Drosophila melanogaster: one gene and its partner. The protein of the gene in region 1 interacts with the protein of each later gene in a pairwise test. Each region holds a gene or a part of one and is shown on either strand. Other genes may lie near its edges.

Region 1 (16,355 bases):
TCGGATGCAGGTGATTGCACGTAGTGGGGTCGCTGGGCCTGGTCGAAAAGTGCTCGTATGGCTTCATCGGTGGCCATCAGGGGCTGACTAATGAATTCCAAGGCCTGGTGGGACGGTAATAAGGTGTACCATTAACTGGATGTTTGAATCACTTTAACTATCGCTGTACTTACCCTAACCGCGTACTTCTCCGCCTCACAAAGTGGACTTGTGCTGGCGCTGGACAACTTTAGTGTCTCCTCGGGAATGCCCACGCCAGTGTGCAGGACCATGCGTTGGAGAATGTTAAGGTTTTCGGCACTTAGGCTGATTACATCGGTGGCGGGCAGGTTGAGGAAACGAATCTTGGCCAGGAACTTCAGTTGCTTAAGCATATCTAGCTGAATTTCGCGGATCTGATGGGTGGCATGAAGCAGTTGCTTCGTTGACTCGTTCAATAGCTGATTCTTCTGCGTGAGATCGGCTTTCCAGCGGGCTAACTCCTCAACCATAACGCTGCTGGCGAGGAATTTGGACCGCCAGACCTCACACTGGCCGGCCAGGAACTCAATCTGCTCGGTGTGGGTGGTCAAATTGTTGGCAGTGTCCAATAGAGCTCTGGCCAGCTGTAGTTTGTCCTCGGTGAGGAGATTAACCCGTGTCTGCAGATCCTCGCCCACGGAGGCCACCAGCAGGCTCTTCAGCTCGCTATTCACCTGCGTTTGGAACTTATACTGGGCTTGAAAGTAATTGCGTTCATCGCGCATCTTGGCCAGCTCCTCTTTAAGTGAGTTTACCTCATGGCTACTGGCTGTGTCTGTTTCTTTAATATCCGTTGTCTCAGTCTCCAATTCCTGTGTGCGCAGCGTGGACACCTGATCCACCAGCACCGCAATGTCCAGGTTGTTCTTATCCCGATGGATTTTGTGTTTATTCGTTGGCTCAGAGATCATGGGATTCACGGCACCCGGATATGGTTCGTAGGGCACGAATTTGGGCGCCTTGGTCTTCTTATGTTCGGGCAGCGAGTCCGCGCTGGTGACCAGTCTTGGCCGCATCTGGACCAGCTCCCCCTTGGGCACAACGGGCGCCAAACTCCGGGTGACGTTCTCGGGTCGTCTGTACAGGGTATGCAAGCCAGGAAGGGGCAAATTTGAGGAGTGGCCGCTACTAGTTGATGTCTTCCTGCCCATGACGGCCTCCTGGACAACGGAGCTGTCTTTTCGCGATAATTGTGGCCTCTTTACCTTGTTGTCCACATCAGCACTCGCTGGGATTTCGCTCTCTGTTTTGGCCGCTCCACTGTTTTCCGGTTGCTCCATGCCATCGCCGCTGGTGCGACAAGCTTGGGATTTGTCCGTTCCTGGCATCGCACTTTCATTCGCTTCCATTTCTGGGCAATCTTGGCCAGGCCAAATAAAATTTTCCTAATTTAAGAATTTCTTTTGCTGTGCCAGCAAAACAAAAACATTGACCAAGGGCTGCCAACTCGCTGCAAAGAAGTTTTGTGTTTCTAGTGTTGGTCAAGACCTAAATGTTTGAAACTATCATGATTATAAAAAAGCATTGTTAATTAGAAATTTATTTGCCTTTAAAAATGCTCTCCTACCCAATAAAATGGGTATAAATAAATAAATTCCCAAGTGAACACCACAGTCCAGTGTGACCAGAGCATGTCAACATGAAAACGCACGTTACACTTCATTTAACAGTGCTGTTCGGCCCACCCACGCACACGTTCACACTTTTTGATAAAGTCGATTGATTTGATTGACCGAGAAAAAAAAACAAATAAACACAACGAAGGTGAACTGGTACCGGCGTAGTGAAGATACCACCAACGCCAGCTCCCAACACATCCCGGCCACGCCCCCCGACCGCCCGCGGAGCTCCAAAGGATGTCCTCAGTGGAGGCCGAGGTGCTGCAGAAAATCGATCTGATTGAGCCCACAACCGGAAAATTGTTTTTCGAGCACAAAACGGAGCTGCTTTTCTGCCGGCCACATCTGATGCCGCTAAAGACGCAGGCGCTGGAACGCCTGGAGGAAATGCATCGGGACACCGCTCGCCAATTGCAGAAGAAGCGCCAGCAGAAGAAGAAGTCCACGGAGCCCACAGGCTCGCTATGAACCAGTCCTTAATCGCAGAAATACATTTGTTATAAGCACATACACCCACACGCACGCACCACAAATACACAGAATCACAGCAAAGCACAAGAACTGAGTACACCCGTACCAGGATCGGGATCGGGATAAGCACTAGTCACAATGGCGTACCTACTAAGCTTTGGCATCGTGGCCGCCCTATTCCTGGCCAGCATCTCGCTGTACCGTTACGGAAACATACCACGTCAGCACATCCTGGTCACCCTGTCCGTGCTGACCGCCTGGTGTTTCTCCTTTCTAATTGTATTCACCATTCCGCTGGACGTGACATCGGTGAGTTGGAATGTGAAGCTATAAGACCATTTGGAATAGAATATAGCCGCAATAGGAAACAACAGAAAGCTTAAAATAACTTAATAAATAGTTGCATTAATATGATTTTGTAGATGTGCATATATAGTACTTTTAAACGTGCAAATGCTTCTGTCCTTTCTGCCATATGTTGTGGTTTTGTATATGTTTTGTATATGTTGCAGGTAAAATATATATTCCAACGATCATAAATATATACAAGACTAGAACGACTAGAAATTATAAATATTTAAAAACACGTTTCGTTCATAAAGAAGTAATCTTTAGATTTCCATTTCCATCAAAACACAGTTTGTCGCATTTTATTGCATGTGAAACGTTAGTAATTTTTAAACAAAACTTAAATTTCGAACGGAAATTAATTAACTTTTTATCTAAAGCTTCGCCGACACCATTCAAATTGTAAGCATACATTGATTTTGGTCTGGAATTTCTTATCTGCAAATGAATCACCCCTAAAGTTAGACAACAAAAAACCCGAATTGATTATAGAAACACAAATTAACCGCTTTCCGGCTTTGGATATACCCTATTGTCATTTGGTTATCAACTCCTTCGATTAGAGCTAATAACAATTAACAATCAAATTGTATAATTGCCATTTCAGACGCTTTACCGGCAGTGCGTGGAGGAGCACCGACCGACCCCAGCCCCAAATGTGACCAACACGTCGAGCGCCACGGTGGGTCCGCCGCCTCAGTGCCAGGAACCGTGGGGCATGGTGCCCGCCTCCGTGTTCCCAAACCTCTGGCGCATTATTTACTGGAGCTCACAGTTCCTCACCTGGTTGATTATGCCGCTGATGCAGTCGTACCTTAAGGCGGGCGACTTCACCGTCAAGGGAAAACTTAAATCGGCACTGATAGAGAATGCCATCTACTACGGTTCCTACCTGTTCATCTGTGGCGTACTACTCATCTATATTGCCGTCAAAGGAGAGTCTCTGGATTGGCAAAAGCTCAAGGCAATTGCCTCGTCCGCATCGAACACATGGGGATTGTTTCTGCTCATCCTGTTACTGGGATATGCTCTGGTGGAGGTACCTCGATCGTTGTGGAACAACGCCAAGCCGGGATTTGCACTGCAATATGCCTACTTCAAGGCAGCCAAATTGAGCACTGAGAAGGCCGAGGCTGAGGAGCATGTGGATGATATCCTTGAGTCGCTGCAAGGCCTTAGCCGCGTCATACCCAACAATCACGAGTTGCGCCCCTGCCTGGAGACCATTCTGCGCAAGGTTCCCATTGAGCTGCAAGAGCGAGCGAGTCGAAACTTTGCGCGCACTGGAGGCAGCGGCATGGGTGCCACGAGTTCCACTATCTTGCCTTCGGAAAAGGCGCTGGTTCGCATTCATAAGCAAGTAATCAAATCGCTGCAAACATTGCAGCGCACCGAAGCGCTATGGAGCGTGCAGGTGCAGACAGTGCTGCATCTGGAGGATGTGGCCAAGAATATACACTCTTCGGACCGGCGCTTCAAATCTGAGTTTCCGCGCCAGCGCACGCAGCTGGAGAGGATCTGCTACAGCGCCTCGCTGCAGTGGTACTGGGAGTGCCTGCTAAAGGCTCCGTTCCTCAAGACCATGTGCGTTCTGACCGCCACCATGTCGGCCATGGTGGTGTGGAGCGAGCTTACCTTCTTCAGTCGCCACCCTGTGCTTTCCATATTCGCCAACGTTATCTACGTGGCCAAGGAGAGCTACGACTTCTTTACTATTGAAGTCTTCTCTATGGTTGTTCTATGCTACTTCTTCTACTGCACTTACTCCACGATCTTGAGGATACGCTTCCTTAATCTCTACTACCTGGCACCGCATCACCAGACCAACGAGCACAGTCTGATCTTCAGCGGCATGCTGCTGTGCCGTCTGACACCACCCATGTGCCTCAACTTCCTGGGTCTCATCCATATGGACACACACATTATTCCCAACGTGAGTAGTAAACATGTTCGTAAACACTGAATTACTGAAAATTTATAAACTATTCCTCAGCGCATTATGGAGACGGTGTACACGCAGATCATGGGCCACATGGATGTTATTGGCATCATCTCGAACGGCTTCAATATCTACTTCCCAATGTGTATGCTGGCCTTCTGTCTGGCCACTTGGTTTAGCCTCGGCAGTCGGGCACTGAATGCTCTCGGCTTCCAGCAGTTCCTGCAAAACGAAACTATTGCTACCGAACTGGTGCAGGAGGGAAAGGATCTTATAGCGCGGGAAAAGCGCCGCCGCCAGCGTGCCGAGGAGGCGATGGCCAGACGCCGTGACTTCAACCGAACCGATCAGGTTCTGGGCAGCGATTACTTGAGCAAATACCGGAGTGGTGGACCCGGTGGACTAACCAGTAGTCGCACGCCCGCCGACGGGCTGCTGCGCGATGGCGACGGCAGCTTTGACTATGCGGCAGTGGCTTCTTCCTCTGCACTGGGCGTACCGCGATCCCTGTCGGAGGAGATCAACGACCGTTTCGGTGTGAGCACTCAGGTGCAGGTGGGATTCCGAGACCCCGACTACGAGGCGGAGACAGATGGTCGAATTGTCGGCCCACCACCCCGAGGACTCTTCGACGATGTCTAGACTTTGGATATGGATAACTCTTTATTTCAATTCGTTACCGAGTATCTCAATATTTCGCTCGCGCTTAAGTATTTCCCGATGCCACTGCTGCTGCTGCTGTTCCTTTACACCCATGTAGACCATTCAGTTGAATAAACCACTAAAGAGGATTCTTATCCATCTTTCGAAGGGAGTAGCGCGGTTCGTTGCTGCTCTCCTGGCTAGTGTCCAGACCACTATCCGTGCTGGTGTCCTGCGCCTCCACGTTCATCGAGATGTCCGTCTCCGATGAGTAGCTTGAGCTGATTGATTCTTCTAGATCAACATTTGTGCTATCCTGGTCGTCTTCCGACGTCGGTTTTCCACTCTGCAGTTGCGATATGGGATGCGGATTTATGCGCTTTCGGCCGCGCAGATAGCCACTGCGAGAGGTAACTGGAGTAGTCGGAAAATACATCTTGGTGCCTTGACTTCAATGACTTGAATGACTTGAATGATGACGGCCTGTCAGAAAGGAAAGCTGTCACTTTCGTAAGGCAACTCTAAAAAATGATTGCCAACAAAATATAGATTTTCGATATTGAGCGCTTAGCCTCAAATTCAATTCAATCCAGAATATTTATATATTAATGTTTAGGTTTATGCAATGCCTTTTGAACGGTATAAAAATATGCAAAATGCTGTTGGTAATCTTGTCTGCTTATAAATCAACATTTATTCGTAACCCAGAAATCACAGCAATTGCAACATGAGCTTAACAAAGGTGGACATATTTCTTCTGTACGTGTGTGAATGATAAATAATCGAACAGTGAAGAATCCATATAGGAAATATGTACAACCGACGGGCCTCGAAGCACAATATGCTAAGGCCCAAAGATCCAATGTGTTGTGCCTTCCTAATGGGTTCCCCTGCTAGCCTGTTTTGGTGTTCATGTGTGATCTTGAGTGGGAAGTTAATCCTATTATTCATCGCCGCCACCCTCTTCGTCTTCATCGAATTCGCCCTCCTCATCGGCAGTCGCCTCCTGGTACTGCTGATATTCAGAAACCAAGTCGTTCATGTTGCTCTCGGCCTCTGTGAATTCCATTTCGTCCATTCCCTCGCCGGTGTACCAATGCAAGAAGGCCTTCCTTCGGAACATGGCGGTGAACTGCTCCGAAACCCGTTTGAATAGCTCCTGAATGGCGGTGGAGTTGCCAATGAAGGTGGCCGACATCTTGAGACCTCTGGGCGGAATATCGCACACCGCTGTCTTGCAGTTATTCGGGATCCATTCCACGAAGAAGCTGCTGTTCTTGTTCTGAATGTTGAGCATCTGCTCGTCCACCTCCTTCATGGACATGCGGCCACGGAAGATGGCGGCGACGGTCAGATAGCGACCATGTCGCGGATCGCACGCAGCCATCATGTTCTTGGCATCGAACATCTGCTGGGTCAGCTCCGGAACGGTAAGGGCCCGGTATTGTTGCGATCCTCGCGAGGTGAGCGGTGCGAATCCGGGCATGAAGAAGTGCAGCCGGGGGAAGGGTACCATGTTCACGGCCAGCTTGCGAAGATCAGCGTTCAGCTGGCCAGGGAAGCGCAGGCAGGTCGTCACACCAGACATGGTGGCCGAAACCAGATGGTTCAGGTCACCGTAGGTGGGCGTGGTCAGCTTCAGTGTGCGGAAGCAGATGTCATACAACGCCTCGTTGTCGATGCAGTACGTCTCATCGGTGTTCTCCACCAGCTGATGCACACTCAGGGTGGCATTGTAGGGCTCCACCACCGTATCGGACACCTTGGGCGAGGGCACCACCGAGAAGGTGTTCATGATGCGGTCCGGGTACTCCTCGCGGATCTTCGAGATCAGCAGGGTTCCCATGCCGGAGCCAGTGCCGCCACCCAGCGAGTGGGTCAGCTGGAAGCCCTGTTGGAGAAAAGTAGGGTAAACTTTTTCAGATAAATTCCCAAACCCCCAAAACTTACCTGAAGGCAATCGCATCCCTCGGACTCCTTTCGCACCACATCCAAGACGGAATCCACCAGTTCAGCACCCTCGGTGTAATGACCCTTGGCCCAGTTGTTGCCTGCTCCCGATTGGCCAAACACAAAATTGTCCGGCCGGAAGATCTGGCCAAAGGCGCCAGAACGAACCGAATCCATGGTGCCGGGCTCCAGGTCCACGAGAATTGCGCGTGGCACATACTTGGCACCGGTGGCTTCATTGTAGTATACATTGATGCGCTCCAGCTGGAGATCACTATCGCCGTAGTACGTTCCGGTCGCATCTATACAGTGCTCATCCGAGATTACCTCCCAGAATTTACCACCGATCTGGTTACCGCATTGACCGGCCTGAATGTGTACAATTTCACGCATTTTGATAGTAAAGTTAGGGCCCCTTTTTCACACCGAAAAAATGGTACAAAAAAAAATCGAGCTTTTAAAACAGTCTGAGTGGGGCAAAAATCGGCAAAAGACTGAATATTTAAACGTATAATTTTTCAGGTTTAGATTTTAGTCGTGTACGTGCTAGCTGATACTGAGGTGAACTGAACCTGGCTTGGATTACTACACCGAATGTTCACAAATAGGCTACTACGATTTCCGACTTCGACACATTTCACACACCCCGATTTCAGAAAACTCAGTTCTCCGTTTTGAGCACAAACTTTAATAGTACTTACATAGATAAACGAATATACGGCTAAAATTCGAGATGGGATGGATTTGGCGGTGCCTTGGAAGCAATAGAGGATTCCAAGGCTACCGACCAGATGATACGATTGATATTGACATGGATGTCCTGGATTTTACTCCTTTGTAAATGTTTATATGGGTGTATAATGGGATGGGTCGATTATTTCTTAAGCAAAAACTGCCTTTTAAAGACTATTAACCTTGCTCTCCAAACTTATATGTATTATGACCCATCCTGGTTTAAAAATCTACGTAGGGAGGAAGGTTTGTCTAACAACCAAATTTTGGCGGCGGATGGTTCTCTACAGGATTGTAACTACGATTTGGTGATCCATTGGCTCTGGCTCCTACAATGAGGAGTCCCACAGCTGGCTGTACGGATATCAGACGGAGGCTCGCTTCAGGCACAAGGTGCTCTCGATAATGTCGGTAGGCTGAAAGTCCGGGTCCACGAACTGCTCATGATTCAGGCACCTGGTGCCACCCATGCAGGTGCAGGAACACAGGGAGGCGGTCTCATCGTTCTCCGTTGTGTAGTTGTTCTCCAGCAGCTTGCCGTGCATATTGTACGTGGACTCATCATCGAAGGTCACCGGCTGGGCATTTCCAGCCAAGTTCTGAGCATCCTGCTCATCTCTCTTGGCATCCTCTGCTTGCCTGTGATTAAAAATCCATTAAATAAGATATTTCCTGCAATAGAACATGGACTCACATGGTCATGAATCGGAGCACCAATAGATTGATACTGGCGGCCACCACGGCCAAGCCGAATAGGATGAAGACCAAGCTCAGCGCCACATAGCCAGGCTTATTAGTTAGAGCTTGGTCGTTCTGCAATGCCACATAATCGCCGAAACCAATTGTCGTCAAGGTGACAAAACAATAGTAGAAGCTATCGAAGTAGCTCCAACCCTCGTATCGGGAAAAGACTGCTGCTCCAGTGGTGATTATTATGGAGGAGAGCATTCCGGTGGCCAACATGAGATTCATTTCGGTGGCATCCGTACAGCGAGCTCCACTGGCTCTCTTTGCCCGCCTTATTATCACGGATGCAAACTTATTCAGACGTTCTCCGATAGACTGGAACATCACCAGACCCAGCGGGATGCCCACCTAATAAGGGAATATCTTTAGAAGACTGGAAATTGGGATTGTAAGTTCACTTACCATAGCATAGCCCATACAAAATGCTTTTCCCGGAATTGTAACTGGCGTAGAATGACCATATCCTAAAGAAAGTTACAACAGAATTATAATCTATTCAATAAATCATATTTAATAGATAATTAATTTACCTATCATTGCCAGTACAACCGTGCTGAAATAGAAAGCTCCAGCGAATTTCCACTGAGGTCCGGCCTTGTGGGGCTTATTTTCAATGATGACGATTTCCATCACACGGAAATCCTCGTCAGTCACATTGTACTTTCTAACAAAGTTGTTCTTAACGGCTACAATTGATTAAATAAATTCATTACTAAGAAATTAGGTTAATAAATCAACAAGCTTCTCACTCTGTAGGAATTCCCATCTTTTGGCCTCCGTTGGTGACTCCAGGGAATCGAACACGGCGGCTCCAATTAAAAGATAGGTGAAAGTGCATACCACCAGGGAAAGGGTACGGACATTCTGTCGCTTCATCATATAGTCTCAAATATAATCACTACGATCTATAATCAATTAATATATTTTGCACCACGCGCCTTTTTCGTTCAGTTAAAGATGCTGCGTCTGACAAAATCGATAGTTGTCAGCAAAACAAACACACAGCATCCGCCAAAAATGGTTGATTTCGGTTACAGTGGCCGAATAACATATGATACAATGAATTTTAAAAATTTCATCATTCTTTAAATATGTAATAAGTTTTCTTTTATCTATTGATTTGACCGTTAATCTCAATAAAGGATTGTGATTTTACCGTTAGTTTATCACAACAGAAGCAACAGAATTTGATGGCGTTGCCACTTGGCGGTATCTGTTAACTCTGTACAGCTAAAAAGCTGTAATGTCACGATAACTAAGGATAATAATAATTTTTTTAAAGGATCAATATACACAAACAACATAAGAGTTTTATTACATTTTCTTTAATTGCCTTTAAAGTTTTTGTCTTTCTAAGCCATTTTAACAATTTAACATTTTGCAGTTAGCAGCGCCGATAACTTGACAGCCTATCGATTTTCGGGAAAAGCAAACATATCGCCAGATCTGATTTGTTTATGCTAAAAAAAAACCACGCAAGTTCCAACCGATTGGATTGTTGCAGTTGGCTGCTGTGTCTCTGACGTCGACGTTTCCATGCTTAATTAACCGGAAAATGTTGCGAATACGTCGGCGGTTCGCTTTGGTAATTTGCTCCGGCTGCCTGCTGGTTTTCCTCAGCCTGTACATAATCCTCAATTTTGCGGCGCCGGCAGCCACCCAGATAAAGGTAAATAAATGCTTCTAAATCAATTCGAATGTATAATAACTTCTTTATTTTAGCAGCCCAACTATGAGAACATTGAGAACAAGCTGCATGAGCTGGAAAATGGTTTGCAGGAGCACGGGGAGGAGATGCGGAATCTCAGGGCGCGTCTTGCCGAAACATCCAATCGCGACGATCCAATAAGACCTCCACTTAAAGTGGCTCGTTCCCCGAGGCCAGGGCAATGCCAAGATGTGGTCCAAGACGTGCCCAATGTGGATGTACAGATGCTGGAGCTATACGATCGCATGTCCTTCAAGGACATAGATGGAGGCGTGTGGAAACAGGGCTGGAACATTAAGTACGATCCACTGAAGTACAACGCCCATCACAAACTAAAAGTCTTCGTTGTGCCGCACTCGCACAACGATCCTGGATGGATTCAGACGTTTGAGGAATACTACCAGCACGACACCAAGCACATCCTGTCCAATGCACTACGGCATCTGCACGACAATCCCGAGATGAAGTTCATCTGGGCGGAAATCTCCTACTTTGCTCGGTTCTATCACGATTTGGGAGAGAACAAAAAGCTGCAGATGAAGTCGTAAGCATGCTTTCCCTATATAGTATTGATACAATAATGAATAACGGTAGTTAACCCACAAAACAAAGTGCAATGCCATTTTGCTATTGCATTCCATAAACCTTACACAGTTGTTATGTGCAGCAGTGAAATATTTTACTTCGTTATTGCGTCAAAAGCGTTTAGATAAACAAAATGCATGATCACGCTGCTTGTTTTCCGAAACAGCTTTGTACTTATCTACCTAATATTTATAACCCAAAGCAGAAATAGGAATTGATAAGCTTTGCAGTCTCAACAACTACAATATTTAGTTTTTAACAAAAAATAATAAATTATTTACTTATTTACAGCATTGTAAAGAATGGACAGTTGGAATTTGTGACTGGAGGATGGGTAATGCCGGACGAGGCCAACTCCCACTGGCGAAACGTACTGCTGCAGCTGACCGAAGGGCAAACATGGTTGAAGCAATTCATGAATGTCACACCCACTGCTTCCTGGGCCATCGATCCCTTCGGACACAGTCCCACTATGCCGTACATTTTGCAGAAGAGTGGTTTCAAGAATATGCTTATCCAAAGGACGCACTATTCGGTTAAGAAGGAACTGGCCCAACAGCGACAGCTTGAGTTCCTGTGGCGCCAGATCTGGGACAACAAAGGGGACACAGCTCTCTTCACCCACATGATGCCCTTCTACTCGTACGACATTCCTCACACCTGTGGTCCAGATCCCAAGGTTTGCTGTCAGTTCGATTTCAAACGAATGGGCTCCTTCGGTTTGAGCTGTCCATGGAAGGTGCCGCCGCGTACAATCAGTGATCAAAATGTGGCAGCACGCTCAGATCTGCTGGTTGATCAGTGGAAGAAGAAGGCCGAGCTGTATCGCACGAACGTGCTGCTGATTCCGTTGGGTGACGACTTCCGCTTCAAGCAGAACACCGAGTGGGATGTGCAGCGCGTGAACTACGAAAGGCTGTTCGAACACATCAACAGCCAGGCCCACTTCAATGTCCAGGCGCAGTTCGGCACACTGCAGGAATACTTTGATGCAGTGCACCAGGCGGAAAGGGCGGGACAAGCCGAGTTTCCCACGCTAAGCGGTGACTTTTTCACATACGCCGATCGATCGGATAACTATTGGAGTGGCTACTACACATCCCGCCCGTATCATAAGCGCATGGACCGCGTCCTGATGCACTATGTACGTGCAGCAGAAATGCTTTCCGCCTGGCACTCCTGGGACGGTATGGCCCGCATCGAGGAACGTCTGGAGCAGGCCCGCAGGGAGCTGTCATTGTTCCAGCACCACGACGGTATAACTGGCACAGCAAAAACGCACGTAGTCGTCGACTACGAGCAACGCATGCAGGAAGCTTTAAAAGCCTGTCAAATGGTAATGCAACAGTCGGTCTACCGATTGCTGACAAAGCCCTCCATCTACAGTCCGGACTTCAGTTTCTCGTACTTTACGCTCGACGACTCCCGCTGGCCAGGATCTGGTGTGGAGGACAGTCGAACCACCATAATACTGGGCGAGGATATACTGCCCTCCAAGCATGTGGTGATGCACAACACCCTGCCCCACTGGCGGGAGCAGCTGGTGGACTTTTATGTATCCAGTCCGTTTGTAAGCGTTACCGACTTGGCAAACAATCCGGTGGAGGCTCAGGTGTCCCCGGTGTGGAGCTGGCACCACGACACACTCACAAAGACTATCCACCCACAAGGCTCCACCACCAAGTACCGCATCATCTTCAAGGCTCGGGTGCCGCCCATGGGCTTGGCCACCTACGTTTTAACCATCTCCGATTCCAAGCCAGAGTGAGTAGCCAGTTAAAGATTACCCATTTATCAAAGGAACAAGAATCCTTTCCGTACTTTCTGTATTAATTGTACATTTTCGTAACACGTTTCGCTATGCCGTTTCCTTAAACCATTATAGAGTGCAGGTTTTATTTATTGATATTAATATTTCATTAACCAGATGCCGTAATTGTCTTCTATTTATACTATTTATTTATACTTTTTCAATAAGCATTTCAATGTTACTTACAGGCACACCTCGTATGCATCGAATCTCTTGCTCCGTAAAAACCCGACTTCGTTACCATTGGGCCAATATCCGGAGGATGTGAAGTTTGGCGATCCTCGAGAGATCTCATTGCGGGTTGGTAACGGACCCACCTTGGCCTTTTCGGAGCAGGGTCTCCTTAAGTCCATTCAGCTTACTCAGGATAGCCCACATGTACCGGTGCACTTCAAGTTCCTCAAGTATGGCGTTCGATCGCATGGCGATAGATCCGGTGCCTATCTGTTCCTGCCCAATGGACCAGCTTCGCCAGTCGAGCTTGGCCAGCCAGTGGTCCTGGTGACTAAGGGCAAACTGGAGTCGTCCGTGAGCGTGGGACTTCCGAGCGTGGTGCACCAGACGATAATGCGCGGTGGTGCACCTGAGATTCGCAATCTGGTGGATATAGGCTCACTGGACAACACGGAGATCGTGATGCGCTTGGAGACGCATATCGACAGCGGCGATATCTTCTACACGGATCTCAATGGATTGCAATTTATCAAGAGGCGGCGTTTGGACAAATTACCTTTGCAGGCCAACTATTATCCCATACCTTCTGGTATGTTCATTGAGGATGCCAATACGCGACTCACTCTCCTCACGGGTCAACCGCTGGGTGGATCTTCTCTGGCCTCGGGCGAGCTAGAGATTATGCAAGATCGTCGCCTGGCCAGCGATGATGAACGCGGCCTGGGACAGGGTGTTTTGGACAACAAGCCGGTGCTGCATATTTATCGGCTGGTGCTGGAGAAGGTTAACAACTGTGTCCGACCGTCAGAGCTTCATCCTGCCGGCTATTTGACAAGTGCCGCTCACAAAGCATCGCAGTCACTGCTGGATCCACTGGACAAGTTTATATTCGCTGAAAATGAGTGGATCGGGGCACAGGGGCAATTTGGTGGCGATCATCCTTCGGCTCGTGAGGATCTCGATGTGTCGGTGATGAGACGCTTAACCAAGAGCTCGGCCAAAACCCAGCGAGTAGGCTACGTTCTGCACCGCACCAATCTGATGCAATGCGGCACTCCAGAGGAGCATACACAGAAGGTGAGCTTAGAAGTTTATTATATTAATATCAAAGAAAGTGGAAATGGTATTTATTTATAATTAACAATATTGTTTGACTAATTGTTCGTTCGTCAGCTGGATGTGTGCCACCTACTGCCGAATGTGGCGAGATGCGAGCGCACGACGCTGACTTTCCTGCAGAATTTGGAGCACTTGGATGGCATGGTGGCGCCGGAAGTGTGCCCCATGGAAACCGCCGCTTATGTGAGCAGTCACTCAAGCTGATCGCAACGTGTTATGGCAAAGGATAAAGCAGAAACTGAAGCCAAGCGACCATCTCACAACCTATGAATCTCGGACGCTAATCCACTGCAATACAGGCAATCTTCGTTTAATGTTCGACTTAAGCACTGACTGCACCGAAAGACGTAATGCGTAATCCATACTACGTATCATTTATTTATTCAAGCTTCCACACGAGGGTTTGGAAATTCAATCCTATGACGCAGCGGTGTATTTTTCGCACCCCCGTGTAACTACACGTTTTACTCTGTTTCCCCTAGTTTTTTACGTTTTTTTGTGATATCCATCCAGTCCCACAGCAAGCAATACATGTCTGTACTCGATATCCCCAATGGGGTTATTGCCTATAACAATGAATCGTAACTATAACTAACGTTTAACTGTAAAGTAGGCTTAGTGATAATGACGCAACTGCAATGATATTAATCTCGACGTTTGTTTTTTACAAATTGAATAAAATTGAGTCTCATTTAGAATCGACTTTTACGTGCTATTCTAAACTAAAAACATAACGACTGTTTTTATTCGAAAAAGGAAAGGATTTGTATTACTATTCAAAATCGTCATTTAGGCTTTAGTTAGAATCGTGTTGTTGGTAAGTTATGAATGCACTTTCTATGAATATTTAATTTTTCTCAGTAAACTAAAATAAATACATTTTAATTTAATTTTTAACATTACATTTAATTTTTTTTTTAATATTGTAAGTAATGAATGTTAGTAAACAGTTGATCTTTGCATTATTAAGTTTTGAATTTATGTGGATTATGAAACGAGCTTTTGAGACGACTAATTAAAGCCATAATCATGAGTTATAGTTTTAGTGGATGAAAAACAGAATGCAATCTTATCAGCTCCAGTGCGGGGTACTATTATTGCCAGAATGACCTACAGAGATAGAGATACTAAGAGCGCGGAATTGGAAAATGCACAATGGAAATGGAAATCCGGATTGAGTGTAAAGTGGTTGTTTTGGATAGAGAGCGAATCGCTGCGCAGTTCGCTCTCTTCAAAATCCGAAACGAGCAACGAAAGCAAAACCGAATCCGAATCGGAATCCGAATTCGTATTTGTATCTGTAAGATACGCTCTCGCGCTCTCTTCAACGACGACCATCGGAATTTTTCTATACAGAAACAAAAATCTCAGTCAGCTCGCTGTTTTCAAGTTTGGAATCCGCATTTCAGTTCAGTTGGATTCAGTCACAGAGTCAGAGCGTCAGATTCAGATCATCGTGGTCGCCAGTGAGTTTGTTTATATGTTTGTGGCTGCCTGTGTGTTTGCTTGTCAAGTTCTGCAACAAAAACAAGGCATCTAAACAAAAGTGGTTCAAAACAATTACGAGGAATAAAATCCAACTAAAACGAATAATAAAACACACAGTGTCGCTTAAATCGCAGAGTATCTGCAGCTCTAGTTCTTGTTGTTGTTGTTTTTTGAGGCGGACTGGAATTTAATTTAATTAAATCAAGTACGAATGTGTGCGTGAGTGTGTGTGTGTGTGTGTCTAAGCTGGGTTCTTGAGTTGTTCTTGTTCTAAGTTCTTTTTTTCGTGGCGTGTATCTGTGTGCGCGTGTCGTGTGCTGGTTTGCGTGTGCTTTTTGTGAACTACGTTTTGTTTCAATGCCAAAAAAAAGTATCTATGCCCTGGCATGTGCTCTCTCTCCATCTCTCTCTCGCTCGCTCATGCTGGTTACATAAATACTGGTAGAAGAAGTGGAAGAGATGGTGGTGAAGAAGGAGGAGGCGGAGGTAACAGAAATTGAAATACAAATTCAATTAACACCTGAAAACGAAAATCCAACTGGAACGCAAACGTCTGATTGGATAAGGAAAATAGAAAACGGGCAAACATGTGTTTGAATTTCCAACTCGTCTTCTTCTTCCCGTCCCTATGAAATGTTCAAAAGCAAAGCTCCTTGAAAGAGGAGGGTATAAAAGAATGTGGAAAAGAGCAGCAGAACCAGAACGAGAACACCAAAAAAAGAAAACGAAATTAACGACGTCACATAAAAGTGTGTCAAAGCAGCAGCTCACGCACACCAGCGTGCGCCAATTTGTATCTGTGTGAAGCTTTAGCTCTCTCCCTCTCTCGCACCGTCCCTCTCATTCGCTGATAAAACGCAACGCACACAGCGCGTATACATAATTTATATATTTATTTAAATGTTTTTCGTTTGCTCGCTTCGAACAACGAGTTTTTCTCGTTCTAAGACTGTCGCCTTTTATTTCTCGCTCCATCTTCCGATTTGAGCTCTTTTCAACATA
Region 2 (16,355 bases), on another chromosome or scaffold:
ATTCACCAGTTTCCAGTGGCGCTTATCTGGCATCGCATTCAAAGCTACTCAAAGCTCGCACTTCAAACGGGATAATCGCGCACTTGTGCCGCCAGATGGCGCACCTGTCTAAGGATTGCAACTCGCCTATAGATAAACTTCATAAGATTAAGACGCTCTGTTAGCACAAAGCAAAGTTAGTTTCAATGGTATTACATGCTTTGTATTCATGTTACGCTAACAAAAAATCGAATTCTACATATCTTTTCTAAGAATCTTTATTCTAAATTGTGCTATTTTCTCTTGGCAACAAGAGCGTTATATGTATACGCATATGCAGTACATTTTATGTATGAAGGCAAAATTATGTATATTTACCACATACATTGGCATGGTTATTATCCAACTATTTAAATCATAAATATATACAGTGAAAACATCTTATCAAAACTATATTTGTTTTTATGTAGAGCGATGGAAGTTGGCTTTTAAAATGCTTATGAGGCTATTACTGCAGTTTAAAGTTCAGTTTTCAACAACAGAATCTAGTTTGTGTGATGAGAATATCTCACAGTTGCCACTCTCGAGTTCTGTATGTATCGCAATTTGAACAATTTCGAAAACGTTACAGTTTAAATTCCACGAACAACAGCCATGGCATATGTAAAGCAGTATGTTCTACCCCCAATGGCAATGCCAAGAATAAGAATCCACCGCCGCAGACTCATCTAATGGCCCGATGTCCGTATGTCTGCGCGTCTTCTACATACATATGTATGTATATGTATGTATTTGTGTGAATATCTGTATCTGGGAGCGTTGCAAGTATCTCCGTATCTTTGCGCCTTATAGCTATTGGTTTTTGGTCGTTTGTTGGCTGCCGCTTTCCGTTTTGAAACAAAAATGAGTACAAGGGTTATTTTTAGAACTAAAATTTTCTTGATTTTTACTCGTTAACATTGCTTACGCTCCGTTCTGTAGTTGCTGTCCGTCCGTCGCCCCTTTTCCTCTTACCCATCCCCCTTGCCCACGCTGAAAATTTCCTCCGCTGGCGTCACGATCGTGAATGTAGCTGTAGCTAATATAATCTGTATCTGTACGCCTGTATGTGCATCCGTATCGCTATGCCTGTATCTGTATCTGAATCGGAATCGGAATTGGAATCGAAATCTGTTTCTGAATTCGAATCGGTTTCTTTTTTGTGGGTCCGGTGATCTTTGGCGTGGACTTTAAGAGATTTTCCTCCCCCAATCCCAATGGCAACTTAAGTAACATTAGTTTCGATAGTTTCAGCCCTGCAGCAAACATACATACATATATGTATGTATGTACAATACTACATATGTGGGAACATGTGTGTACACTTGGAACAAAGTCAAAAGATTCAAAACGTTGAAAAGGAATATCATATCATTTATTCAAAACGACACATAACGAATATCAAATCTATCAAAACTATAAATTACCTAAAATGCCAAATATTTTATAGTTATGTTTTCTAAATACACAAATACATAAGTTCACTGCGTTGGGATTTGTTCTGATATATAAGGATCAATATCTCTTGGTTTGATTTGCTTCATTCAGAATCAACAAATATCCAATGCTACTAACATATATGCATATATTTTCTTTCAACTAATTTTTCCCAAATAGAACTGATCTGGGGGATCAATAAGCTATGGTACATACGAAATCATTCGAGTACCTAGAGTAAAATGGTTTATTCACATCCTGTTCGATTGAGGACGTGGCAGGTCGATTTTGTTAAGTGTGTGCCATGGACTGACAGATGTTCGGCTGAGTGAGTGCATGTGGCCGATTTACATGGGCTCGGGGATGCGATGCCTTTACTTTACACGCTGCCACAGCACCGGCGGCACCAAGATCCCAATATATCGAGATCAGCGGGGAGCGTTTAACAACGAACGTTGGCGTTTTTCGCCAATGACGGCCAGCGACGAGAGTACATAAGATTTATAGTTGCTATTTTTAAAAGCGGCGTATTAAGAACCGTAGGCCAGCGACCAGAAGCAGTCTACTACTACAACTACCACCGATCCGGCCATAAGAAGTAAGGGGAGCTCCTCATGCGCTCCTTTCGTGGTCTTTGAATCGGGATGGGTTGTTGAACTCAGCCAATTTGAGTGAAAACGGGAGCTAGTCATACGATGATGTTTCAAAATGGGCAGGTAATGAGAGATTGCATTCAATATCACTGCAATATTGCAACAGACTTAACATAAAAACAAAGGAATACACATACAACATAACTCTGACAATAAAATTATAATGTAAGAATAGAATAAGAATAGAGTAATATATTTCTTGTCTACTTGTCAATTTAATGGGCGAAGACTAGTAAATGCATATTTAATAAACGCCGAGCCCCTTTTTCGTGTATGTACATATGTATGTATGTTCGCATGACCTGCTGCTGGTCATCAACCGATCTGAAAGATTGAAAGATACAAGCAGCCGAATCAGATATCTTCGATCTTGGCTTGCGCAAAGCCCCGACCGATTTTATCCAGTCGAAGAGCAAATATTTTGATATGCATTGAGTGCTGCTAAGCACATGCAGATATATGCACTAATGTCGATCGGACGAGTGTCTGTCGACAAATTCGAATAGCGTTCGGTCGTCGTTATTTGGATTTGGATTTGGGCTTTGCTCGCCCACCTTTGAGACCTCTGTTCGCTTGTCGATTTTCATTGATTACTATTTGCCTGAATCACGTGTCGATACGATACGATCCAGTACGGTCGATCGATCGATCGATTGATCAACGATCGACGATCGACGATCGACGACGAACGCTTCTTTCCGTGGCATGTGGACATGGATAGCGCCTCACTCTCGTTGGAAATTGGAAAAGAAATCGGATTGAATGGGGCTGGGCGGCGTTGCTGGGGCCGTACAGATTTTAAACACGTCCCCACCGTTATTTTTAATTTTAGTACACATATACCACACGGCGGCGAACACACACAGAACACAGATACTCGGATACAGATACAGATACAGTCGTAGCAACGCATGCTCTGGCAACGATCGTATTCTATTTGTAATCCAAAATAAGTGTACGTATCTGTGGCTGTATCTGCATCCGAACTATGTGGTTCGCTTTACGATCTCTCGATGCCCACTCTCTTTCCCACTTGACTCGACTCGACTCGATTCGAATCGACCTGGCAGACGAACGACGACGAACGCTTTCCGTTGAAATCTCTTCTTTGTGCTCCGTATCGAGAGTCTACTGCCACAGCTCCTGCTGCTGGTAGAGTACAGCCTGTATCTACCATATGAAGCTAACGACACTGGCCAATCTGGAGCAGCAGCTAGAGGCGGGAAAGATCCCAAAATGGTTTTCGGGCGCAGAAGTACCGGAGCACAAGCACGAAAGCAAGTTGCTCAGCGGCGTAGCTTCGATAATCTCAGCTCGAAATAACAAAATACAGCGTTTGGCGGGAGCGGGGTTATCTCCGACCCAATGACTTATCACTGTAGCTGTTGTCCGTAGCAGTTGGTCCGTAGAGTCGACTCGGTTTCGATCTCGAAAACCAGAGCGCCAAGCAACCATCTTTAACAATAGGACTTATTTTTGATTAGAACGGCGAACAGTAGACGAACATCACTTTTTCATTCTAGTGCGACTAATCGAACTTTGTTTTTTTTTTTTATTAACAACTATTTTAATTATATTCTTAATTATTTAATAGATATTATGAACACCACTAAAAGGAAGTGTACAGAAAACAAAGCTCTGCCAACTAATCTAGAATTATGTTCGACTTGATTCGCTGAAAAGTATACAAAAATGGCCGTCCATTTGCACAAAGTACACAGAACTATAGGAACTATACAAAGCAATATATTAACACTTACTAACTTTTTAAATAAATGATTCAAATAATGTTTTAAAGATGAGTTAAGTAGATAAATGACCTTATATGCAAGTTATGTCAGACAACTTTAGATATGTAATGAAATTTACCAGCAGATGTCGCTCTTTTCTTTAAAAGAGAGAAAAATTAACTAACGAGTAACGGGTATCTGCAAGTCGCGACATTATACCCGCCTGTTGGTTTCCAACTATTGCAAAACTATAAAATACAAGATCTATTTATTGTGTGTATAAAATCAAAGCTTATATGTAACCAAATAACTTGCTTACAGTCCTTGGATATTACTTTGTTAATACGAATGCCTAATTGATAAGCCTTTAATAGTGACGATGGAATAAATTAATAATGATATATAAATTGAAGAATTGCAGACAGATTGTATGTTCTATTTTCAAACATAGATTCCACATTCTAATTTATAGTAGATGATAACGAAGAATAGGTTGGAATACTGCGGCATTTAGTATCCTGTTGCGTTTTGGCCAGTGCTCAAGATGCTGTTGCAAAGAGACGGCAAACAGAAGCAACGCCAAACGTTTGCATCCATACCACATCCACATCCACTTCCACTTGGGGTGCCCATGCCCGCCATACTGCACAACATACTCGTATCTATTTTTAGGCTACGACTTTTCCCATTTGGCCCTTCATAGATCCACATAGGTTCACCTCCGTCCTATGCCATACCATACCATCTCCTACCATTCCATCCGCATCCGAATCGTATCGAGTCGGGTCGAGTCGAGCCGAGTCGAATCGAATAGAACCGAATCCAAATCCAAACCCGAACACAGGCACACGGTAGTGTGCGTGATCTGTAGAGTAGGAATCGGAATCGGAATCGGAGTAACTGCTTCCCTCTTCGGATCGTGGGCATCGTTGGAATCATGCTTGCTCTGATCGGATGGATCTGCTGTCTCCGCCTTGCTCCTCTGCCGCTGCGACCGCCACCGCCACCACCACTGCCTCCTCCTCCTCCTCCCTCTCCTCTTTCGACGTAGTCTCTGTCTCTGCCCGAATCTATAAGTAGACACACTTGTATGTACACGTTCGTGTATACATATATATTTATATACCCGAAGTCCGTGTGTGTGTGCAGAACACATGTGCACCCCAGAAGGCATCGCCATCGCCTCTCCGCCGCAATCTACCAGGTTAGAGCAGTGTTCCGTGGTGTTCCGTGCCCGAGGAGCGATCGTCCGCCTAACGATCGTAGCGGTCCATATGTATGTGTGTGTCTATGTGGGAGCTCACCCGTCTGTGTGCGTGCGCGCATGGGTGTGTGCGCGACTGCCGTTAGTATCGGCAACGGGATCGCAAGCAAAAAGTTCAGTTTCAGTTTCGTTGTTGTTTGGTTTGGTTAGTTTTAGTTGGTTAGTTGGAATCTCAGGACGGCGGACTACGGAGAACGGTAAATCGCGTGCAGCGTTGTCCGGAGGAAGAGAATTGCGCTCGCGTTTTCTTTCCACCTTTCTTCTCCACTCTACTTTTCGCTCAGTGCAAATGCAGGTCAGCGAAAGCTTCTCGTGCGTGAGTGATGGAGAGAGCCCAGAGAGTGGCGGTGTGAGTGAGAGCGCGTAACAAGGATGAATGACAGAAAAAAGAACAACAACAAGTGAGCAGGGACGCGCAAACAATAACAACAACTGCAACAGTAGCAAATAAAAGAGCTTTGGCGGAAAGAATAGTGGCAGCTCTGCATAACTGTCAAAGTGCCCGCCAACTGTAAATGTTCGCACGGATATTCGTGAGTGAGAACGCAGAAAGGCACATGTGCATCTGATTTCGTGATTTGTGTTTTCACTTTTTTTTTGTGATTCTTTTTTTTTTAGTTTGTTTTTTTTTCGCGTTTTCTGTCGACGTTGCCGTAGCCGATGAGCCGCCGTCTAAGGCTAAAAGGTTAACTTCTAAATATTAATAGTCGTTGTCGGTTTGTTGTCAACAACAAAATTCGAGTAACGTAAAACAAAATACAACAAAGAACAAGTACGTTCGTTGATTTCGAATTCGATTTCGATTTTGTTTCGGCTCTTGTTTCCGTTTCGTTATTTTGTGGTCTAACAAATGTTGTTTTTGTTGTGATTCGATTTTTATTATTTTTTTAGGCACACACACGCACAATCGCCACGCTCTAGACGTTAAGTGTCACAAAGGTTACATTGCGTTCACACTAGTTACATTTGAAATGCAAACGCCGCCAGGCCAACGCAGCATCCGCAAAAACAAACACAAAAACATAAGCAATAACAACAACAACAACAACGAGCAGAGCCGGAGAGTCCACAATTGAAACACTCGAAAGAATCTGCAGCGGATCGGAGAAGAGGATAGCAGCAGCAGAAATTAGACAATATCACCGTCCAGCATTGCGCCTGCTCAGCAGAATCGGGCCATCCAGAAGCTGCTGACACCACAGAATTCCCAAATGGTAAGCAATGTGAGAGATTAGCTTCCAGGCAAATAGCGCTGCATATCCAAGCAGTGGGGGCGAGAAGATACATGCATATACATACATACAGTTTGTCAAGAAACTGTTTACACACTGTAAGATAAGTTGAATTTTTGACTTTAAAGCTAAAAATAAAGGGTTTTTTGCTTAATTAAACGGAATTTTTTTATAAAATATAATTAAACAATATTTATTTTACTTATAAATCAAAAAACAAATTAAAAATATTAAATATACAAGAAAATAAACAACAAATTCCAAGTTTACACACTTTTGGGACTGTCAAGAAACTCTTTACACATTTTGTTTTCCTACTTTGTTTTGTTCTTTTTCTTAGAACGAACTCGATTTTTCCGTTATTTTTGGCTTTGCATTGCTTTTTACAACGCTTCTATTGAAATTTGTTGACTTTGCTTGTGAAATTTTGCTGATCAAACGTGCTTAAAGCGAATTATTAAATTTAATAAAATGCCTGGAAAGAGATTAACTTTTAAAGTTACCCAATTAATAAACTATAACCACCAGTTGGGAAAATCTTTTCCAGAATTAGTATAAATGTTTCCTGTATCCCGTAAGACCGTCTACAATGTTTTTAAAGGCTCGGAAAAAGAGGACAGGCTTGAACTTAAGAGTGGTGGTGGGCGGAAAATTAAAATTAAAAAACGTGTAGACCGCTTTATTATGCGAATAGTGATTGCGAACCCCCGAATCTCGGTCAGATCACTTGCTCTGGAAATCAGGCAAGAATGTCACCTAACTGTGTCACACGAAACTGTGCGCCAAGTCATCCTACGCCATAGGTACTCTTCAAGAGTTGCAAGAAAAAAGCCTTTGCTATCAGAGATCAATATTGAAAAGCGTCATTCATTCGCTGTGAGCATGATGGATCATGCGGAAGAGTACTGGGATGACGTCATATTTTGTGACGAAACAAAAATGATGCTCTTTTATAACGATGGGCCAAGAAGAGTATGGCGCAAACCGTTGAGTGCGCTAGAAAAACAAAATATCATTCCAACGATAATATTTGGAAAAATGTCACTGATGGTTTGGGGCTGTATCATCAGCAGTGGAGTGGGAAAACTAGCCTTAATTGAGAGCACAATAAATGCCGTGCAATATCTAGGAATCTTAAAAAACAAATTTGAAGGCCAGTGCAGAAAAATTCGGTCTAGTTAGCAACAACAAGCCAAATCTTAAGTTTTACCAGGACATGATCAGAAACAAAGAGTGGAATGTACGCACCTGGCGCCTTTGTAACTGTGGTAAAGTGATCGATACGCCCCCTCAGAGTCCTGATCTGAACCCCATTGAAAATTTGTGGACCTACTTAAAGAAGAAGGTGGCAAAAAGGGACCTAAAACACAACAACAGCTTATGACTGTAATAGTCGAAGAGTGTGAAAAGATCCCGTTTGAATATGACCTGCAAAAACTTGTCCAATCCATGAAAAAAAGGCTTCAACTTGTAGCTAAAGCCAATAGGGCACATACTACATACCAAAACTTTTAAAATTTTAATAAAATAATTTTAAAATTTAGGATTAAACTTTGATTTAGTGTTTTGTGTAAAGAGTTTCTTGACAGTCCCAAAAGTGTGTAAACTTGGAATTTGTTGTTTATTTTCTTGTATATTTAATATTTTTAATTTGTTTTTTGATTTATAAGTAAAATAAATATTGTTTAATTATATTTTATAAAAAAATTGCGTTTAATTAAGCAAAAAACCCTTTATTTTTAGCTTTAAAGTCAAAAATTCAACTTATCTTACAGTGTGTAAACAGTTTCTTGACAAACTGTATGTACATATAGTATGTACATGCATGTACATAGATTCTCCCAGATACGGAAGTGCAGCAGATCCGATCCGAACGCCACAGCCTCCGCACGGATCGCTATCTGCGGTAGTGGACAATCCGTGAATATCTGCGAAACAAATTTCGCCGCGCTTAGTCATCATCGGCAGCTCATCTCTGCCGCGGGAGGAAAGATTTCGTAGAATCTAGACGGCATGAATGAGCTTTGGCCATCAGCACGATGATGCACAAAAACTTCTGGTCAAGATCATAATGGCATGTCCATCTATGTATCTCTTGGAAAACTCAGGAGATATTATCGATGTTTTGAGCTAGAGATATAGATAAACATAATCTTACTGATTTTCTTGGATCTAGTAGACAATGTTTGTAGTTCATATATTATATGGTATATTTACATACCATGCGTTTGAAATATACAATTGAAATGAAATATATGTATGTGTGTACATTGAAATAATTGTGACAAACTTTAACTGCACAGATGTAGCTATTTATAAAAGATTTATGTAAATACATATAAGTATCTGCATATGTTTTGACCATTAACCGTAATAAATTTATTAAAAAATATTTATGATTATTGATATCAAAATTAATATATATATATTTATGATATATACGATACATCGGTCCATAGTTATTTCTAATTATTTAATCATTTATTTTGTACATTGGATTGGATTATAATTTACCTACCATATGAATCATATTTAAGATGCCTTATGTATGTACATACATACATACTATATAAAAATCTTAACGAAACAACTTGGTTTTTATGAGCTTTTCAACGTTGTAAACGCCTGTACGATTTATTAACTATTAAAACTAAATAATAATAATGAATTTAACACATCACTATTATCATCATATCTATATATTTTTTTTTGTATCTTATTGTTAGTAGCAATTGTTTCTTATTTTCCTTAAATTATCCTGTTGGATATCCTTGCAGGATACGAAGAATCCCCCGCCGGTGACGAGCAGCTATCACCACCAGCGGGCGCCGCGGACGCCGGAATCGTACTTCAACGTGCCGGAGTCGGTGGCCCTGCTGAACATCGTCAAGTCGGAGCGCATCCAGAGCGCGTTCCAGTCGAACCGAAAGAACCATGCCAGCGTGTGGGAGATGGTCGCCGAGGTGCTCAACCGCTTCAGTGCGCGGAAGCGAACGGCCAAGCAGTGCTGCAATCGGTACGAGAACCTCAAGAAGATCTACACGCAGCTGAAAAAGAATCCCGAGCGCCATGTGCGCCGCAACTGGCCGTACATGTTCCTCTTCAAGGAGATCGAGGAGCAGCGCGGCGAGTGCTGGGGATCGAATGGCAAGCGTCTGGCGCTCATAACCAAAAACCACAACGAGCTATCCTACTACCAGCGCCGACGGCAGGCGGCCGAGCTGGGAGTGCTGCTCAACAAGGACAACCTCACCCCGCACCAGCACAGCCTACTGCAGAGCCTCAGCCAGAGCCAGAGCCAGAGCCACTCGCACGCCCACTCCACGGACTCCTCGCAGAGCGGGAGCAAGCTGGACCGCTTCCTGCCCAATCACTTTGTGGAGGCGCAGCTCAGCGAGGTGGCCGGCCCGGTCGGTGGCTCCGCATCCGGTGTATCCGGCATGTCCGCCGGCGGCTTCGACGAGAATCCCCTCCAGATGCAGATGGTTCAGGCAGCTGCTGCCGCTGCCGCCGTGGCCGCCCATAAGCGACATGAGCTCCAGATGGCCAGCGTTGGCGGCGTTCAAATGACGCCCGAAGACGACGACGAGGATGAGCCCCAGCGGCCAGCATTTAAAAACCACCTTCACGTCCTGGGTCATGGCCACGGCCTCGGCTTGGGCCACGCGCCAATGGACGACTCTGGCGAAGCACCCGACTTCGAAAAGGACTGCAATGGAGCACTCAACATGCACCACCAGAACAACAATCACAACGAGAACCACATATCAATGAAGTGAGTAAAAGTTGTAATAGATTTCTGGTAAACTATGTAATAGACAGAGGAAGGGTTTTCAATCTCCAAAATATAATTGTTTATAGGCTCTTGTCTGTCCGTCGATATTTCCGTAACTAAATCTCAGAACGTTGCCACGCCCAGTCTTACGCCCACCAACAGTTTCGCAATCAAAAGACAAAAAAGTTCGTTGCAAGATTGAAAATCGTAGTGAAATTGAGAATATAGATTACTTTATGTTTCTTCCATTCAATTTAAAGATGTTACTTTAAGTGTAAAATCTAAATTTCGATGCCGATTCCGATCCTCTAGGGATTACTTACATATACTGCAAACTACAAACCTAAAAGATACTTCACTTCACTGATAGACTGACTTCACTTCATCAAACAAACAAAGTTAAGAAATAAATCCTTTTTACTCAACAATTATCAGTTCAAAAGTAATGGTGTCCATTTAATTGTTAATGGGGAAAGTCCAGATCGATTATCGGGTTGCCCCGTTCTCGAGATCCCGCCTAAGACTCTCGCTTCTCTGCCGCCCACAGGTCGGAGCCACTTTCGGAGGGCGAGTTCAATCCGGACGACATCCAGCTGATGCAGACGAACTACAATGGGTGAGTGCCGGCGGCGACGGAAGCCACCTTCTTCGAAACCGATTCCATTGATCAAATCCATGCTTGCACAGAGCGCAGAACTACTATTCGCCGGGCATGGATGCGAATATACTGCACCCCGATGTGATCGTCGACACGGACATCCTGTCCGACTGCTCCTCATCGACAACGCTGAAGAAGAAGCGCAAGATGTCCACCTCGACCGACGGCGACAGCACCAATTACGAGCTGATCGAGTATCTGAAGCGGCGCGAGAAGCGGGACGAGGAGCTCCTCAAGCGGATGGATGCGCGCGAGGACCGGCTGATGAACCTGCTGGAGCGCACGGTTGTGGCCATTGAAACGCTGGCCGTAAAGCGGGCACTTACGTTTCCAGTTAATCCAACCAAAGAGAACGCGCCAGCGACAGCCAGACCGTTGTCTCCGCCACCACCAGAGGCTCAGTTTGCAGCGCCGCCAGCTACGCAGGAGCAGCCCACCAGTCCGGAACGCAACGGCATTGCGACAGGCAGGAGCGGCACCATTCCCGTCGCGAATCAGGATGCCGCCATTGAGGTGCCAGACGACGGCGATAGCGGTGACGATGTTCAGGTGAAGGACAAGCTGGCCAAGCTGACACCAAAGGCTGGCGGCGATGAACGGACGGATGGCAGGCAGACGTAGAATATAATGCATCCACTACTCGCTAGATCTACTTAAGACTTCTACCTACATACATATATATATATATAACCCTTCCCTACCGCCACTCCTCTCACCGGATGGCGGCAGAGGATACAGTGCCAAAGAAGAGCCATGTCTCGAATTTCAGTTGAGATTGCCATTTTTACTTAGAGAGCCTACACAAGTGCTTAGCGGACGAATGAAACTTAATTGCAATGTTGAATATTAAGCGCCGCAATTTTTGTTGAAGCGATAATCTTAATTCACTTAATTAGCTTTTAGTTAGGCGGAATCCCACCAGCGGATGCCGAATGAATCTCAACAGAGCCGGATTCACACCGCTACGATAATCTAGTTGGAGCTGCAACGGGGCTCAAATGCATTTGTGCAGTAACTAAAGCACAAACATTTCATTTTTTTTTTTTGTAATCTAGATGAATACATGTACCATTTACAAAAAAAAAAAAGAACAATATTGGTTTATTTTACACAGGATTATGCTTAAGACTAAGGGTATAATTTAACCTAGATCAGTTTTTTCCCTTTTTATTCCGCTGCAGCTTGATATCCTTGCTGGGCAGGCTCTTCTTCGCCTTGGCGATCTTTTTGGTGATCAGCAATTTCAGGCGGTTCTTCACTTGGTCATATTCGGCATGGTCAACCACCGCCTTCGTGGACTTGAAAAACTTGGCGCCCTCTGCAAAGAAAAGACGATCGCTTGTTGAGAATGAAAAAATACGCACAGATTCACGTTCTTACCCTTGAGACGAGGATCGTTTCTGGGTATGAAGAAGGACTCCAATTTGTTTTTGTTCCTCTTTTGACCCGACTTCTTCGCTGGCTGGGCCTTGTTCTCCTTGCTGACCTCAAGCTCCTGCTCCTGCTCCTGCTCTTGCTTCGGCTTTACTTCGGTTTCGTCTTCGCTGTCGGACGAGTCGTAGGAGAACGGATTGAGAGTGGCCAGTCCGAGCTTATTGGCAGACGTCTTGCCCACCAGGATCTTCTCATGGCCCAGCTTCTCCAACTGGTCCTGGCGCTTGGCCACCTCCTTCTCCGGTGCACTGCCGAACATGTCCAGCAGGCTGAAACCCTCTCCACGCGTGTTCAGCGAATCCCTCAACGTGTCGGTGACAATGTAAAAGGCCGTCTTCGAGACGGCTGAAGCTTGACTGTTGCCCGCGTCGGCGGTCTTGGCTTTCGTACTGGAAGTCTCCTCCTTCTTCTCCTCCTCCTCCTTGGGCTGCTTTTGGCGCATTAGCTTCTGATGGCCCTCCTTGGCCGGATCGAAGCGCAGCATCTTTTTGTTCTTTGGCGACTTACCGTCCTTATCGTTCGCACTGGTGATCGCGTGTCCCACAACCTGCTCCAGAATGTTCATGTGCCATTTGCGCTCACTCTCCTCCGGCTCAGGCTGATCCTCCAGCTCCGCCTCTTCCTCCTCGTTCACAAAGTTCGATGTGATGCGGAAGCGGGGATCTATACTCTGTTTGCTCTGCATCTCCACCAGACGCTCGCCCTTCTTGCCCTTATGCTGCGGCAGGACGATCTGCTCCTCTTCCTCATCGTCGTCGTTCTCGAACAGATCCCGCTTTTGTATCTTGGCTTTCTGGACGGGCTTGGACGCCTCCTCCTCCTCGGCGTCGCTGAATTTTATTCTCTTTGCCTGACTGCCTTCGACTGATATCACAGATAGCGCCTGCTGGATGGCTGACTTCTTTTGTTGGTGTCCCTGACGCATCTTGTTGAGCGACTCCTTGCGCTTCTGTTCCGCCTGGCTGACATTGGCGTCCGGCTTCTGTTTGGCTGCCTTGCGGTGCTGTTCGATGACATGGAGTGGCTTCACGTCGTGCTCCTGCTGGATGACAATCTGTGGGAAAGGAAAGGAAAGGAATTTAGCTGACAATGAGCTTGGGAACAATGAGTGCGTGCATACCCGGCCATTGTGCATGGAATTGGCGGCGCGCTTCTTGGTAATCAGCAGCTCTGGAGCGACCTCATCATCACCAATCTCCTCATCCTCTCCGAATACCCTGCGCTTGTTTTGGCCACTTTGCACCAGGAGCTGAGAGCTCGGCGCACGCACCTCGGACTCGTCTGGCTCGCCCTGTTCCCGGCGCTGGTTCTCTTCGCGTTCGCGCTTCAGTCGATCCAAAAACGATTCTTTGGCAAGAGAAACTCTTAGCTTTTCGCCGTGCAACTTCTGCCATTTGAGCTCGTTGACGCCTACAAAACCAAGCTATGGTTACTCCTTCCGTCTGGCTGTGATCTTCCGCGGATAACTTACAGTACTGGGCATCATCCGTCTGCACGGTGACGAAGGCAATCACCTTAGTGGCCCCATCCTGCTCCTTGCGCTTCAGATCCACGTGCTCTACGTGACCGTAGTCCTGGAACAGGATCTGCAGGTCCGACTCCGAGGTCCTGGTCGGCAGATCCGCCAGGAAGAACCGAGTGCTGCCCATATTATGTTTACGCTTGCAATGCACGTGTAGAATCCAAATCCCGGCAAGAATTGCTGTGGGCCAGTGTGACCGCGGGCAGATAAAAACTTACACTTAAATATAGCCACAATTCCAATTCCCAATTGCTTTATACAGGTTTTTAACAAGTCCAAGCAACACTAAACCAGCTTTCAAATTTATTTAGCAACTTTGTAAATAGGCAAATACATTAAGTTAGACAAAAATAATCCCCATCGGTCAGTGTTGCAAGGCGAGCAATACAATTACTTTAGGTGCGCAGCTGGCTGGTCACACTGGCAGCAGACGTCACAATAAATTCTATTATTTTGTTTTGTTTTGTGCGAAAAGTTTGCAGGCCAGCAATCGTGGACTAGCCCACAAACAACGGCAGCATGGCGAGCGGGACAAGCGGCACAAGCAGCAGTGAAACGGCCCAGTCGACGGACATGGCACCATCATCGGCCGAGAAGTGGGGCTTCCCTTTGATTGAGCTCTACCGCCTGGCATTCACGTTCTACAAGCGTAAGAGCAGAGATCCCGGCACTAGCGCACCAATAACGGCTAATCTCACATATTGCAGGGAACTCCGGCAAGGCCATCCACTTGTCGTACGAGGACAACCTCAAGCTGATCGCCTTCAAGCAGCAGGCGGCGCTGGGCCCCTTCAACACGAGTCGCGCCCCGGCGCTGGGCGTCCTGGACGTGATCGGACGCGACCGGCAGCAGCACTGGCAGCTGCTCGGTGAGATAACGCGCGAGCAGGCGATGGAGGGGTTCGTCGACCTGCTGGACACAATGTGCAGCGCCTTTCGGCCGTACATTGAGGCCGTGCGGCAGGACCGCGACGAGACGCTGCGCAAGGAGCTGCGCCTCATGGAGGAGAAGAAGGAGGCACGCGAGCGGCAGGAGAACGCCCAGCAGGAGCTGCTCGAGGAGGGTTACAAGGAGGAGCTGCAGCGCCGCCAGCTGCAGGACGCACTCAACAAGCAGACTTACCAGCAGTTTAAGGTAGCCCATCGATTTTTTCAACAACACACCGGCCCGGCCCTCTGCACCTGTTGTTGTGCTAAATAATGCATGATAATTACTGGGTGCTCGGCCTTGGCTGCGCTGTCTGCCATTGAAAAGGGGTCATGACCCAGTTCTCAGGCAATTGCATGCCAGCTCCTGTACCATTAACTTGGCCCTTCTAACGCTTACACTCGTTCCACAGCTGTACGCTGAGAAGCAGTTCCCCGGAAACCCCGAACAGCAGGCCGTGCTTATCCACCAGCTGCAGCGGGAGCACTATCACCAGTACATGCAACAGCTTCATCTGCAGAACCAGAACCAGAATCAGAATCAGAACACGGAGGACAAGGGACACCAGGAAGCAGAACACGTCCCTGGCAATAACAACAACAGCTCAACCGACTTGCCCAACGCCATGGAGGGACTGAAGCTCGGTGAGGTCGAGACACAGCAGCACCAGCAGCTGGCCGAGCAGCAAGACGGGCATGTAGAGCAGACGTTGGAGGGCGTTGGGCAGGAACAGCACGGCGAGGAAGAGTACGACGACTACGTTATGATCTGCCCGGCCAAGATCTGGACTCGTCCCGACATCGAGCAGTTTAAGACTGAGGTGTCCGCCGGCGATGGGGACGGCGTCATCACCATTGGACACGGCGACACGGTGACGGTAGGTGGCAATCAACTAATGACGAAACAAGGCCCATATTGACCGGCACAATTTTGCAGGTCCGTGTGCCCACCAACATGAACGGCAAGTGCATCTTCTGGGAGTTCGCCACGGACAGCTACGACATCGGCTTCGGCATCTACTTCGAGTGGGCCAAGCCCGTGACCAACGAGGTGACCGTGCATGTGAGCGACTCCGACGAGGACGAGGATTGCGTGGACGAGGACTACCTATCCACCACCGAGGACCTGGAGTCCGGCTCGCTGTCGCAGGAGCGCGGCGCAGTTAACAACCCGACTGCTGCCCCCAAGGCACCCATTTCCATTATCGTACCGATCTATCGACGGGAGTGCTACAACGAGGTCTACGTGGGCTCCCACTCCTATCCGGGCGAGGGCGTCTATTTGCTGAAGTTCGACAACAGCTACAGCATCTGGCGCAATAAGACGCTGTACTACCGCGTCTACTACGAGCGTTAAGAGGCCAAAATGTATTTACTTACCACTAACTTAGATGAATCCTATCTCCGTACGAACGGCTAATGTGCAAGTCCGGAATAATCTGTATGTGCGTGTGCGTGAGGTTTTGGTTTTACGTGTGCGTTGCTGCAATTCCGGGAAACAAGCGGCGGGAAAAGACCATGCCGATTTCAGACTAAACCAATATTATTTATTATTTAGTTGTAACCGACGAAGACAAGTCCAAAATTCAATTTGAAACTAATAAACAATATAAAGACAACTGTAAATAATCACTTTTCGAAATCTCTTTGCTTCTTAATGAAGAATAAATTATTCGTAAAATTCACTTAGGAAACTTCTTCATAC

The links.
Region 2: the proteins of CG9356 (region 1) and CG14232 interact in a two-hybrid assay, tested with the Drosophila melanogaster proteins (2 studies listed by BioGRID).

What each region holds. Positions count from the first base shown.
Region 1 is NT_033777.3:9,402,670-9,419,024, forward strand, and holds the start of CG9356 (uncharacterized protein), read right to left. Parts: upstream 1,601-16,355; 5' UTR 1,569-1,600; intron 1,510-1,568; 5' UTR 1,371-1,509; coding exon 174-1,370; intron 105-173; coding exon 1-104. Other genes in the region: BBIP1 (BBSome interacting protein 1), read left to right, coding at 1,878-2,108; CG8135 (uncharacterized protein), read left to right, coding at 2,250-2,420, 3,067-4,392, 4,453-5,040; CG44261 (uncharacterized protein), read right to left, coding at 5,180-5,476; betaTub85D (beta-Tubulin at 85D), read right to left, coding at 5,984-6,931, 6,991-7,383; Task7 (TWIK-related acid-sensitive K[+] channel 7), read right to left, coding at 8,088-8,361, 8,417-8,817, 8,872-8,933, 9,000-9,155, 9,219-9,348; alpha-Man-IIa (alpha-Mannosidase class II a), read left to right, coding at 10,025-10,138, 10,192-10,721, 11,054-12,526, 12,761-13,823, 13,920-14,069.
Region 2 is NC_004354.4:19,701,906-19,718,260, reverse strand, and holds CG14232 (uncharacterized protein), read left to right. Parts: upstream 1-14,001; 5' UTR 14,002-14,122; exon of another isoform or gene 14,123-14,198; 5' UTR 14,199-14,242; coding exon 14,243-14,372; intron 14,373-14,430; coding exon 14,431-14,858; intron 14,859-15,063; coding exon 15,064-15,528; intron 15,529-15,587; coding exon 15,588-16,007; 3' UTR 16,008-16,273; downstream 16,274-16,355. Other genes in the region: meso18E, read left to right, coding at 6,314-6,316, 9,112-10,109, 10,657-10,725, 10,797-11,388; CG14230 (uncharacterized protein), read right to left, coding at 11,919-12,085, 12,148-13,255, 13,322-13,611, 13,673-13,850.